Nothobranchius furzeri: one gene and its partners. The protein of the gene in region 3 interacts with the protein of the main gene of each other region in a biochemical or structural test. Links are inferred from orthologs where the notes say so. Each region holds a gene or a part of one and is shown on either strand. Other genes may lie near its edges.

Region 1 (4,273 bases), on a different chromosome or scaffold from region 3:
ACTCCTAGAGTAGCTAAAAAAAGATGCAGGAGATCAAGAAATTAATCTAAACTCACAGAGAGGGTCAAATGAACTTTAATCCTAGAATTATGATACAAGTTATAAACTAGAAAACAGATCCCAGGTGGCATAGAAATGGTAGCTTAATGCTTCTCATGAATGAATCAAACAGAATGATTTTCCCCAAGGGGATCAATAAAGTACACATTATTCATCATCTTTATGTTGAATGTTTGACATGTTAATATATTTATAATACCGGGAACAGTATTCATCCAGGATCTCCCTTCTCTCCCATTCAATTCTTTTCAATATAAATTAGGACAAAGATGTTATCTACAAGTTTAAACCCTGTATAGTTTCACAAAAAATAATGTTTGACTCATTGTTTTACCGTTTTCCATTTAAAAACATCACCAACCCAAAGCAGCTGTTAGTTGTAGAATTTCAGACATTGCAGAATGACACCAAGTTTGTTAAACTAATATATAAAAAGGTTGGTATTGCTTGATTTTCCATCTACTACAATCAGTTATGTGACTGATGCTGGAAGTCATTTATAGCTAGCTATATGGAGTAACTAGTACTTAGAATTTCTGCATTTTTGCACTCTTTGGGATTACTGAGGACAGTCATTCTTATTTGGCCTATTATTCATAGACTTGATAAGAGAATGGTTTTAAATAACATGGACATGAAATAGTTGTGTTTATCTTTCAACTACAAGAATAATAAAAACCACTTGTTTTATGAAGTAATTTCAACAAACACTAATTTCACAGGAAGACCAGAACTGTGCATTTTACACGTCTGTGTCATAAACTTGTGATGCAGCGATTTTACAATATTTTCTGTAAATGTGATGTTCTAAACATTAGTGGCAAACCTAATTTGGTAAAAACAAACACTGGGTTAGTCTTGTACAGTTTACATTTAACTTTCTCAGGTTACTCACCAACATACTTCTTCTCAAACTCTCCTGTAATGTGTCTCTTCACAAAAGTTGTTTTTCCCGTGCCTCCATCTCCGACCAACACCAGCTGTGAAGAACAGACCAGTTATCTACTGACCGGTTTGTGCTGGTACACCAGTTACCTCAGCTAAAACGCACACATTTTTGCCCTCACGCGCCATAATTAGATCATACTTAACATCATTCTTAAGAAGTAGATTCTTACCTTGAACACCGCCACAGGTACACACTGTCCCATAGAGTCAGCCATGGTTCCAAATATTCTGAAACAAACAAGGCGGGAATCTACCGTTAGTGTTATCTATACGTTGATTTAAGTTAAAGATTCTCAATAACTCAATTTGGCATTCTGGGAATATTGTTCACACGGGGCTTTGAACACGCACCATTCTGTACAGACGAGTTTACAGCTAAGGGATAACTTCTAGCATGTTCTATCCAAGCTAACGTTCCGACATGTTCAAATGCGACGTTATAATTTATGAAAGCTTGCTAACGCATCAACAAACAGCCTCTAACTGCTCTCCGGTGTGCCAAAATATAAAGTAAAACAAAGCTACCGTGCCCCCCAAAAGCCTCAGCACTGGCGGTTACCAACTAGCCTTCAAGCTAACAGGCGTTAGTTTAGTGCGCCATATGATGCCTGAGCGCACTTTTTCAGGTTCGACTGGAACAATCAGACAGTCACAGAAGCTAATGCGTTCCATGTTGCCGTCAATTTCTGGTCTAAACAAGACGCCTTCCGTAAATAACGTTAATTGCGAACAAGAAAAAATTGTGAAAACTCCCTGGCAAATATACACAAATAAGAGTAATAGGAACAAATATCCCAGAACAAAGCCGTGAAATGGAGCATTGCTGTGCTCGCTAGCCTCACAGCTAGCACAGCATGGAAGCCATTCTTCCCCGTTAGCTGGTAGCACAAAAAATGCGACGGCCTTTCCCCCTCAACTGCTGTTAAGGCTGCACATGCAAAACGACCTTAACCCAAAAGAAGAAAATAACCCAAAAAGTTTTGTTTCATTCTTAGTGACTTAAAAACAATCCAAACTTGACATTTAGGAAGGCCCTCAATTGAAGAGGAAACTAGCGACTCACCGGTGTCACTGCGAAGAGAGGAAAGAGTAAATGGCTGCGTTCGCGGCAGATTCAGCGTGGACTATGAGTCACTTTCCGCCCTGGTCACGTGGCCTCCGCAGCGCCAAAAACGCATAAAATATAGAACATGAATCAGCATCCGTCTGATATACCTTCACGATGCGCACTCCGCTGCTTTGTTCTCAAAGCAACACTTCTAGAGATTAAACCGTATATATCATGTTTTTAAAGTGTTGATCAAGACATATGGGCCCGATAAGAAGCCAGCTAGTTTTTGTTGTTCAAAGGTTTCTGCCCTTTTCTGAAAACTTCCAAGGACCTTCGGGGTTATAAATCATAAATTTGACATTTGCACTAAAAGGAGGTTTTGACAGGAGGAGCCTTTCCCAGACACCAGTGTCTTTCTGTACTTCTCTACTTCAGGAACCCCTTTCAGGCTCTCTAAAGATTACGGAGTAATGAAGGGAGGCAGATGCCCGATGATATGTGTTACTTAACTCTATAGACATTTCTGTGTTTATGTCCATGCTTTAACCCCGGCTCTTCCATTGTTTGTTCCTGTAGCAAAGTTAACACGCAGGGTTAAAGAGTGGCCTTTAAAACTCATCTGGTTTAAAAATACATAATCAATTTGTATAATTTCACCCGTAGTTCATACCTTAGTGGAAACTGCAAACCAGAGCTGACAGAAATGGGACCAAGTAATAGGTTCAAATGATTCTGGGCCTGTGTTTTATATTAGATCATGCAGTTAAATAAAACAGATCTAACAAGCTTGAAGAATTTTCCTGAAAAACATGTTATGACTGTTGATGAGGCACAAAAGAAGCAGAGAGAATTAAAACTAATTTGTACTCTTTTTAAATTACATTATTAAACTGCTATGACATTTTTCAAGTTGTGATTGCACTTAAACTAGCTGTTAGCTCATCAATCCTGTTGAATGTTTCAGTCCATTCAGAAAGCTAAATAAAATAGTAATTACTTATATCCTTTATATAAAAATACACTTCAAACTGGTCAAAACAATTCTGTTGAGGTTGAAATCAGAAGCTGCAGGTATGCTTCACTCCCAATTCTCCAACTAATCTAACACCAGCCTAGGTTTAAAATATGGTTTATTTAATTACCCTCAGTTGTTCTGGAGAAGCATTACATTGAAATGTTCAACTTAAAAACAATAAAAAATGTTTTAATGTGTCTGTAAATATCAGTGAGTAAAAACAAATGAATTCAACACATGAACAGTTCAAACTAACCCAATCCTACAACAAAACAAGCCAAACAGTGCCTGACCAACAAGAAAGCTCCCAACCTGTTCTAGCCAATGGCAAAAGAGCTGTAGTATTTAACCCTGGCTGATCCACTGAGTAGAAAACATTCTGTGGATAAGGAATAGTCGAGTCAGTTGGAGACAGGTCAAATCATTACCGCATGAGACCATCATTAGGTTAAAAACTGCCATATATCTAAAATAACGAAAGATAAAGAAAATTTTGCAAAAATGCTTACTAAGTAGAACTCGAGGGAATAGTGAAATGATTTCCAGAAACACATTATAAGGACTAACCAATGTAACCAGACTAAACAGCCGTTTAGCTCAGAGAGACACGCATTACTGAGGATATAAACCTCAGTTAGATGGGAAGCAGCAAGACTGATTCCTGACAACAACAGGATCTAAATGATTTAAGATGTTATTTTTCTAATAAAGGATTAACCAACAGAGCCACCCCCCCCCCCCAGTCATAAATACAAGATGAAAATTTAAGTTACTCAGTTAAGTTTTATGATTTACAGAAAAAGCTCAACAGTGAAGGTGTGCCTATAAAAAAGCTTTTAGAACAACTTTTGTTAGATTTGTTTATTTTTGTTTATGGCCAGTTAATGTATGATTACTGGGCTTGCTTCAAAATGAGCATTTTAACTCCACAACATGTAGCTATTTCTATAATGTACATAAGCATGATGCCAAAATGGTTTGTTTTTACAAGAAGTGGTTTATCTGTACAAATAGTCTGCCTGTATATTGGCTGCTATCTCAGGCTCCCATCGGTCTCCGTTGTTGAGCAGCTTTTCCTTGTTGTAAAGAAGCTCCTCGTGCGTTTCTGTAGAAAACTCAAAGTTTGGACCCTGAGGAGAAGGTTGAGAGAAAAATATCAAACAGCAAATACTGGATAGGAAAAGGTAAGCAGCGATTCT
Region 2 (4,255 bases), on a different chromosome or scaffold from region 3:
TAACAAACCGATTAATCGATTAATCGAAAAAATAATCGACAGATTAATCGATTATGAAAATAATCGTTAGTTGCAGCCCTATTTCACATGTCAGCAAAGTTCTGATAGTTTGCATTAAAATAGTATTTTTGCTCAGTATTTGTTCTCAAAATTTCAATAAAAATTGTTTATTTAAAAAGTGATTTTTTTTTTTGCCTTTTCCTTAAGATTAGTCTTGGAAAGGGGGGTCGTTTTAGGATCAAGGTCGTCCTATATCCGGGTCAATACGGTAATATTATTGTTTGTCCATCTTTTTGATTTGTTGCTTATTTAGTAAGACTTGCCACATGTTAGTATTAGCTTGTTGGTAGTGCTAGCTACAGCAGGCTGCTGCAGGGTTATTTACAGTAGTTGTAATTCCGCATTGAACCAGTAGGGCAGAGGAGCAGGTAACGTCTGCGTTACTTTATACAAAAACAATCTACATTTCCATCTTTCTCTTGTTTCCACTTTTTTGGCTCTTATTTCTCTACAAGCACATTTATCCAAGGGTCAGACTGATGGCAACAGGAGTGGGTGAGTTTAAGTCAAACCCTTTCATTTAGCCCATTTACTAAATCATCTGGAAATGCTTTTTAATAACAACTAAACGTTTTGTATTTTTATTGAGGAAATTAATGAATAAAAAAAATGTTATCCTAGAAATAAAACTTAGTAAGATGTTCAACAATACATACTGATATTAAGAAGACCTTGACCCCCTGGTCCTCCGTGTCCATGGCGGTGATTCGCACACTCTTCTCACTGGCCTTGTCCACCTGCATCTGCGGCCAAAGTTTAGTGTTGAGGATCAACCGCAGGCTGCCCTGGGTCCTCATCACTGGAATAACATCATTCACACAATGACAAGTCAGTGCTGAGGCCCAGCTTGAAGAAGCCACTTGTTTCATTTACTTCATAAACGATATGAGTTTTTTATGAAAACAAGAGTATTGTGACAAGGAATAATTTCTAATGCCGTGTAAATGTAAACAGAAAGTAAGAAACTTCAACTCAAAACAAATTTGACATTAATAGATTTTACATCAAACAATAAAGTAAAAACCAAACAACCAGATCCAAGTTCTTGCGTGTGATGTGATGTCCATTTAATAGGATCATGGAATGATTCGTCTCCCCCTTGTGCTCAAAGTGAGGTAGTGCATGATGAGGAATAAAACGAAATGTAGGTTTCCTTTCTGTGACCTTACATGAGCGTACATCATGATAATTTATTTCTTGCAACATGAACCGTAACGGTGATGAAAGTGAACACTGCTGGGGGAGACTCAAACACTCAAACAGTATCAACGGTGCTACGTTTATTTTTTTAGCCTGCAGGTACGTTTACCTAAGCGAGACTGAAGTGTGCCGTCATCCGTCGAAGCCATATCATTGAGTCTCAACAACCCCCGACCTCTTTCTATCCACGACTGAGCCGTCTTCTCAAAAACATACAACTTGCACTGCATCTGTAATAAAAAGAAAAACAGCAAAGGTTTGTGTTACACCGGTGTTTAGTCACAGCATGCGCCACACTCAGAAGCCCTGCCTCGTCTCATACCTGTAAAACATTGCTTTCCGACTCCTCTCCAGTTTTCACATCGACTTTCTCTAAGATGCACTTCTTGGCTGTGGCTTTGGTGTAAGCTGCTGCGGATTCCGCCAAAGACTCTGACACACTGTTGGCTGTTGAGACGAAACACAACTTAACAGGCTGCTGTGATTCCAACACTGACAAAGCAGTCACTTCAGTATGAACGTCCACAAGCAAAAGGATGTGGGACTGGAACCATCTATAGTTAAAACAGTGACTCCAAAAATCAAGCTGCTAATCCATCTTTGCTGTGGATTCAGCAACTTCTCAGTAAGCGACTAGAATTTGTCATTTGTGGCCCACATTTGTTGCTAAGCAGGCAAAACAACATCCATTTATCCCCAAAACTGAACGAATTATTGTATTTTTACCCTTTTCGGGGGTAGTTTCCTGTGATGAAGGCTCTGAAGCACAAGCAGCTGAAACCTCCGTATTTTCCTCATTTGAGGCCTCTCCCTTTGGGGGACTCTGCAAACACAACAGCTGATCAGTGGAACCCGTTTGGCGTTAAATCATCACAGTTTTTCCAGTATAGCACACCACTGGCAAACCACGCAACCACCCAAATGAACTCACCAGAACTCGCTCAGACATATTCTGCCCAAATACAAATTTTGCTCCACCGTCTGTACTGTTTGTTGCATTTTTTGAACTAGAATACAAGAGAGAAACACGTAAGTCTCCACAAAGATTTCAGCTGAAATTATACACAGGACAAAATGTCATTACCTTGGGGTAGAGATGTACTGTAAGAAATAATTCGTGCCCTCTGACTGAGAGTTTTGTTGCACATTGTTCTTTGAGTTGTCTTCTGTACTGTTCTCATCCAACTAAAGGGAAATAAAGACAACAGCATCTAATGAAACGGAACAACAAACCGCAACAGAAAATTCTCAGTCTTTCAGACCGACACAAAAAGAAAAAGTGACTTTTATAAACAAAATGAGCGTAGAGGTAATAACAAATCTCAACACAGTGAACTTTTCAGAGATAGTTAACGTCTACCAACATGCGGACTGATCTGAACCATCACTGTAAGTCACACAAAACTACAGAAGCAACCCACCTTTGCCCTGTCTTTGATATTCTGACCAAACACAAAAGATATTGCTATATCTGCATCCGTCTCTCTTCTCTCTCCATCTTTATCAGTCTCCTCGTCTTCCTTATTTTCATGTTTCTGAAACAAAAAACAAAGACTTCTGTTCTTTTACCATCTAACCAGGGCCATTTACAAATGTAGCATATAATACAATGGACGATAGACCTATATATCTGGCCAATATTTACAGTTTGTTTAGACATCGGCCGATATCCGTCCTTAGTAAAGTCGATTTAAAGTCAGACACATCCTCGTGCAGGCAGGTGCTGCAGCAGAATTTAGTTTCAATGTATTTTTACATTCACCAATAACATCCGCATAACAAATACTCTAAATTTACATTATTTAGGTGTCTGACTTTGACACTGAGCAGTGCACAAGGTTCAGAGTTCAAAACTGATTCAGCTTCAGAAATTTTGTGCATCAGCTGATGTTATTAGTGACAATTTAACATGAAAAGGTGGAAAACGTCCAGATATCAGCCATGACTATCTGCAGTACTTATCCATTGGCTGACCATGTCTCCTACATATCAGCATTGGTATCGGCAATAGAAAACCAATATCGGTCAACCTCTAGTTACAACCCTTTTTGACTGCATTAAAGACAAAATAAATTTCATTCGAATTTCAGTAAATTAGATTTATGTGATTTTCCAGGATTTTTTAATACGAAAAAAGGTTGTTTTATTGTTCTTCTTCATTAAATAAATGTGTGCTGTTACTCATATGTTCATGGGGGAAAAAGCAAAAAGCAGCTGCTTCAACAACATCCTAGCCAAACCTCAGCTTTGAAAGCCTTGGCTTGACTTGAGGCTTGGCCAGTTCTTACCAGTGACTTGGCCAGCGAGGCTGAATGCTCTTTGTTGTTCAGGAAGAGGGATTGGGTCACAAGTGATCCATCCGACGGCTTTTTAACACCATTGGTTCCACAACTGGAATCTAGAGTTAAAGACACGGAAAAACAGGAGTAATTATTTCTTTGCCTGAAATACCACTCTGAAGCCTCAGACACGGGGCTAATGACTTCGTATCTGAAAGGAGAAGTAAAGATGCCGTGCTCTCCGTCATCTCAACCTTGTTCCACACCTGCTCGGGCCTTTTAAAGAATTTTTCTACTTTTAACTGAACTTTGGACTAGATAATCTAGAGCGAGTTTAACGTGCTCTCTAGATAGGGCTGGGCAATAAATTAAAAATGTATCGTTATCGAAATTTTTGACTTTAATCGAGATTATTTTTCCCATGTCAACAAATCTGATAATAAAAAAAAAGAAAAAAATGTGTGTAGGACGGCAACGTTCATATTCCTTTAAGAAGCTGTACCACCTTGAGTCATGTAAAAATGTGACTCAATGTAATGTGACAGCCCCATCTAGTGGACAACTTTTGTTTCTGTGCCTACCTGTAGTTATCGTCAATTTATCGTTATCGAGGTGAAGTCCCCAATATATCGTGATATTAATTTTAGGCCAAATCGCCCAGCCCTCCTCTCTTGTATACCATCGGCATGCTCAGTGTTTAGTGTGTTCCCCGGAAT
Region 3 (4,355 bases):
CAGTGTCGCCTGTGGTTTTCCCTGAGTCCCCGGGACGGACCCCCGCTCGGGGCGGACGCCTTCTCACACCAGCCCTGGCCTCGAACGCTCCTTTATGCGTTTCCACCAGTCCCTCTGATTCCCCGTCTCCTGGACCGAATTCGGTCGGAACAGCTCTCGGTGATTCTGGTGGCTCCCAGACGCGTGTCCGCGTCATGGTTTCCGGACCTGCAAGCGCTAGTGTCCGGCTCCCCGTGGAGGCTCCCGTGGAGGGCGGACGCCCTTCTCCAGGCGGATGGGATAATCAAACATCCTCTGGAAATAGGCCAATGGCTGTGGGTCTGGCCGCTGAGCGGTCACGCTTAGAGGCTTCTGGGCTGCCGCATGATGTGGTCGCCACGATTCAGAGTGCGCGGGCGCCCTCTACCATTGCGTCTTACGCTGCTAAATGGGCAGCTTCCAGAACTGGTGTGCAGAACGGAATGTTCAAGCGCTCTCCTGCCAGCTGGCGGATGTCCTATCGTTTCTGCAGATACTGATGGACAGGGGCCTCGCATTCAGCACTGTTAAGACATATGCTGCAGCTATCTCATCATGTCATCAGGGTTTTGGAGATAGATCTTTTTTCAATCATCCCCTCACAAAACGTTTTCTAAAAGGTGTCAGGAGGAACAGACCTGTGTCCCGCCCGCTTTTTCCCCAATGGGATCTAACGGTGGTTCTGCGTGGCTTATCTGAAGCTCCATTTGAACCCTTGGACCAGGTCTCACTCAAGTTCCTGTCGCTTAAAACTGCATTGCTGCTGGCGCTAGCATCAGTTAAGAGAGTGAGTGACCTAACCACCCTCTCAGTGGCTCCCGCATGCCTCAGGATCCGGGAGGATGGCGGATCTGCTGTTTTATGCCCCAACCCAGCCTTTGTGCCCAAAAGCATTAATGCTTCCTTCAAATCCAGGTCAATCTCATTGGCTGGACTTTTTCCTCCTCCCCATAATTCTGAGGAGGAGGCGGCTTCTCACCTTCTCTGCCCGGTGCGCGCGCTTGCACGATATGTGTCACGCACTTCAGGGATTCGTCGCTCACAAAACCTGTTTGTGCACTACAGGGAGTCTTCCCTTGGTCAGGCGCTGTCGGCCCAGCGCCTTTCACGCTGGCTGTGTGACGCCATTTCCCTCGCTTACACATCATCAGGGCAGGATCCCCCTGAGGCACTCAGGGCTCACTCAGCCAGAGGGATTTCTTCTTCGATGGCGCTCCTCAGTGGTGTGTCAATGGAAGACATTTGTCAGGCTGCTTCATGGGCTTCCCCATGTTCCTTTACTCGTTATTATTTACGAGATGTGTCTTCAGGATCCATCACTCGTTCAGTGCTTGGACCCCAGCAGGCTAAATGAATGCTTATGGCACCCCATTGGCCTTGCTGAGATGGATTTCATCCTCTTGTGGATGATGTTTTTTAGTGGGGGCCCCTCTCTTATCGTGCCTGCCTCAGTCTTTAAGCCTGGTCTGAGGCTGAACGTCCCCCACTAGAGGAGATTTGATTGGGTGTGTCCATTGGTTGTGTTAACCAGTGGGGCGTAAACCCATCCAGCTGCGCTTTATTCCAATAGCAGCTAGCTTAAGGGCTAAGACTAGACGAAATAGAACGTTGGTTACGTTTTGTAACCCCAGATTCTATGAGTCTAGTTGCAGCCCTTAAGCCACTGGCCCCACTGGTTATGATGGGAATAAGAGCCATTGGAGGTGAGCAGTGGGGTCACTGCGGTTATATACCACGAGGGGGCCCACTATTGGTGTGCGTACATTTAAGCTCTTCATGATTGGCTGATGCAGAGATCATCCTTCCAATAGCAGCTAGCTTAAGGGCTGCGACTAGACTCATAGAATCTGGGGTTACAATACGTAACCAACGGTCTAAAATCACGCTTTCTCGGTTTTAAATAGAAATGTGTTTTAAAAAGCTCTACCGTAAGGGGTGCTTTAACCAAACCAGCATGTCAGAGACAGACAGACAGCACACGAAATACCACAAATCTACTGAATCGGAGGCTTTGCAACATTAATTACTAACCTTTAACAAGAGCACGTGTGTGTGTGTGTGTGTGTGTGTGTGTGTGTGTGTGTGTGTGTGTGTGTGTGTGTGTGTGTGTGTGTGTTGCTACAGCAGTAAACACGGCCAATTTAAACCCGTCGCCTGACCTAACACTGTTGTCAACACCCATGTGCCACTGCTAACATTCTGAGTTAGCTGTTTTACGATCCAATCTGAAGGGAATTCTTCACTCCCAATAAACGTGACGCACCTATTACACTTCCCCTAACAAACAGTAAAGAAAATACACGATTTCACATAAAATCATTTATTTTTGGGCAATAAATAAAAGCTGTATGAGACTGAATTACTTTCTAGCTGTTGCCTGCTAGCTATCGGTGTTAGCATCACACCGAGGAATGAATTCATTATTGTAACAAAGTTTCTGTTCGCTGACCAGTAATATGTTCATATGTTACTGTCGGCTGTTTGTTCAACAACTTGGGTTTAAGAGCAGAAGAGTTACTGACCTGAAAACACAGATAAATTGGTGGTTTGACTAGAGGTGAACGCTAAACTGCCTGTTCCCGGTTTTCAGACATGCAACTCACGCGAGACTTCACGTTGTTTGAAACCTGTGGAAGGCTGGTTTTCTTAAAGAGACCGCGGCACTTAAAACGCCATCCAATGGGTAATGATCTGATGTGCTATTATTGTACAGTACCATTTTTGTACCTCAACCAAGTATAGCAAGCATTTTCTTTCTTTCTATCTATCTATCTATCTATCTATCTATCTATCTATCTATCTATCTATCTATCTATCTATCTATCTATCTATCTATGTCAAATATACACATCTTGCAGAAAAAAAATAAACAAATTAACATTTAGGCAGATAAAAACTGTCAGAAGCAAACTGGAATCACAATTCTCTATGCAAAAAACCCACAATGTTATGAGCAAAAGATTAATAAATAAATAAAAATATACTGTAGACAATTTTCAAGTACTGAAGTTTTACATCCATTTTTACTGCAGAATAATTATGTCACACTATGTTTTTTTTAATGCTTATAGCATACAGGTGGCCAATTCTCACAGAAATATATATTTAGGTAACATTACATTCAGACTCAGCTTTCAGTTAAATGCTCTGCATATTTGTAACCCTTTTATGCACAGGCCCATGTCTAGGTCTCCCTGCTAGCGCCTGCTCTTTGTTGGCCTCACATGCTTCAGCATGATACTCAGACACTCTCCAGCCTGGTCTTATCTTTGTTTTAGTTTTATGTCTGTGAAAGGGAATGCTAGCCTTAAGTAGTGCATTCACTGTCATCATACAAGTTACCTACTGCTGCTATGTGTTCTACGGAAAGTACGAGTTATGTCTATTTCAGTTGATGTAATCTTGAACACATATAATTAAAATAGGTTTAATGAATTTTAGTAATTAAGTAGTTTGTATAAATGAAGCCATTCTGTTTTTACTGTTATCTAATATCTGTCTATGCTGTTAATGCTAACCCGTGGTCATTTTAAAGGTGTTTTATTTTGAAGGAACCTACAGGAAGTGCAGAGTTTTGTCTTGTGTAGCGTTATAAATGTTGCCTGTTAGTAACAGCATTCATCCGCTAGAGGTCAGAAAAATTCTTACTCTTGAAAGCAAGTCACCCCCAAATAAACTTATTTTTTGCTGATAAACTACATAAATGAATGTCGTGCTGTAGACAGGTGTAGTCAATAATTTTGTACTTTAATGCATCCTAGTTAAAATGTAAAAATTCTGCTTAAAACTGTCAGTGTTGCGCCCTCTTCAGGTAAAACCTCTGCACTGCATTTGAATTGAAATCTGCCATTGCTGTTGGCTAACAGGTACACAATGACGTTAGCTGGTACATTATGATGTCACAGTGTCGTTGTGACCCTGTGTGTGTGTGTGTGCATTTGTAAGCGGCTCCGCCCTCTCAGTCAGGGTTGGGCATCATTTGATTTTGAACCATTCCGATTCTAATTCCTCAGTTTGATTGCGGTTCCTATCGATTCCCGATTCCAATTCTTTGAAGTCATGACATGTGGTACATGAGCCAGCTAACCACAGGTCCTACTTGATGAAATAATCTTAACTTCAACATGAATTTTAATTCTATGAACAATAACATCACCTTCATTTGGACAAAAACGTGTTTTGGAGGAAAAAAGAAAAAGACTTGCAGCACAACCAGTGTGTTTGTTTCTGACCACAACCAAAGTCTGGAAGCAGCCTCTGGGATGAGAGGCTAAATGTCTCCAACATATCCAGAAACGTGCAGCCGATTTCAGCTAAAACTCTCAGGATGATCATGT

Evidence for each region.
Region 1: the proteins of rcc1 (region 3) and ran form a complex in vitro, tested with the Homo sapiens proteins (6 studies listed by BioGRID and IntAct, with this or other methods). The link is inferred for Nothobranchius furzeri from reciprocal best matches to the Homo sapiens genes RCC1 and RAN.
Region 2: the proteins of rcc1 (region 3) and ranbp3b form a complex in vitro, tested with the Homo sapiens proteins (2 studies listed by BioGRID). The link is inferred for Nothobranchius furzeri from reciprocal best matches to the Homo sapiens genes RCC1 and RANBP3.

The regions. Positions count from the first base shown.
Region 1 is NC_091741.1:91,737,618-91,741,890, reverse strand, and holds the start of ran (GTP-binding nuclear protein Ran), read right to left. Parts: upstream 2,939-4,273; 5' UTR 2,072-2,938; intron 1,579-2,071; exon of another isoform or gene 1,360-1,578; intron 1,237-1,359; 5' UTR 1,224-1,236; coding exon 1,179-1,223; intron 1,041-1,178; coding exon 956-1,040; intron 14-955; coding exon 1-13. Other genes in the region: ndufs8b (NADH:ubiquinone oxidoreductase core subunit S8b), read right to left, coding at 4,073-4,204. UniProt on the Homo sapiens protein: GTPase involved in nucleocytoplasmic transport, participating both to the import and the export from the nucleus of proteins and RNAs. Switches between a cytoplasmic GDP- and a nuclear GTP-bound state by nucleotide exchange and GTP hydrolysis.
Region 2 is NC_091751.1:45,070,548-45,074,802, forward strand, and holds part of ranbp3b (ran-binding protein 3b), read right to left. Parts: intron 3,659-4,255; coding exon 3,549-3,658; intron 2,796-3,548; coding exon 2,682-2,795; intron 2,446-2,681; coding exon 2,345-2,445; intron 2,268-2,344; coding exon 2,192-2,267; intron 2,084-2,191; coding exon 1,987-2,083; intron 1,708-1,986; coding exon 1,583-1,707; intron 1,491-1,582; coding exon 1,370-1,490; intron 860-1,369; coding exon 717-859; intron 1-716. UniProt on the Homo sapiens protein: Acts as a cofactor for XPO1/CRM1-mediated nuclear export, perhaps as export complex scaffolding protein. Bound to XPO1/CRM1, stabilizes the XPO1/CRM1-cargo interaction. In the absence of Ran-bound GTP prevents binding of XPO1/CRM1 to the nuclear pore complex.
Region 3 is NC_091745.1:40,106,448-40,110,802, reverse strand, and holds the start of rcc1 (regulator of chromosome condensation), read right to left. Parts: upstream 2,647-4,355; 5' UTR 2,541-2,646; intron 1-2,540. UniProt on the Homo sapiens protein: Guanine-nucleotide releasing factor that promotes the exchange of Ran-bound GDP by GTP, and thereby plays an important role in RAN-mediated functions in nuclear import and mitosis.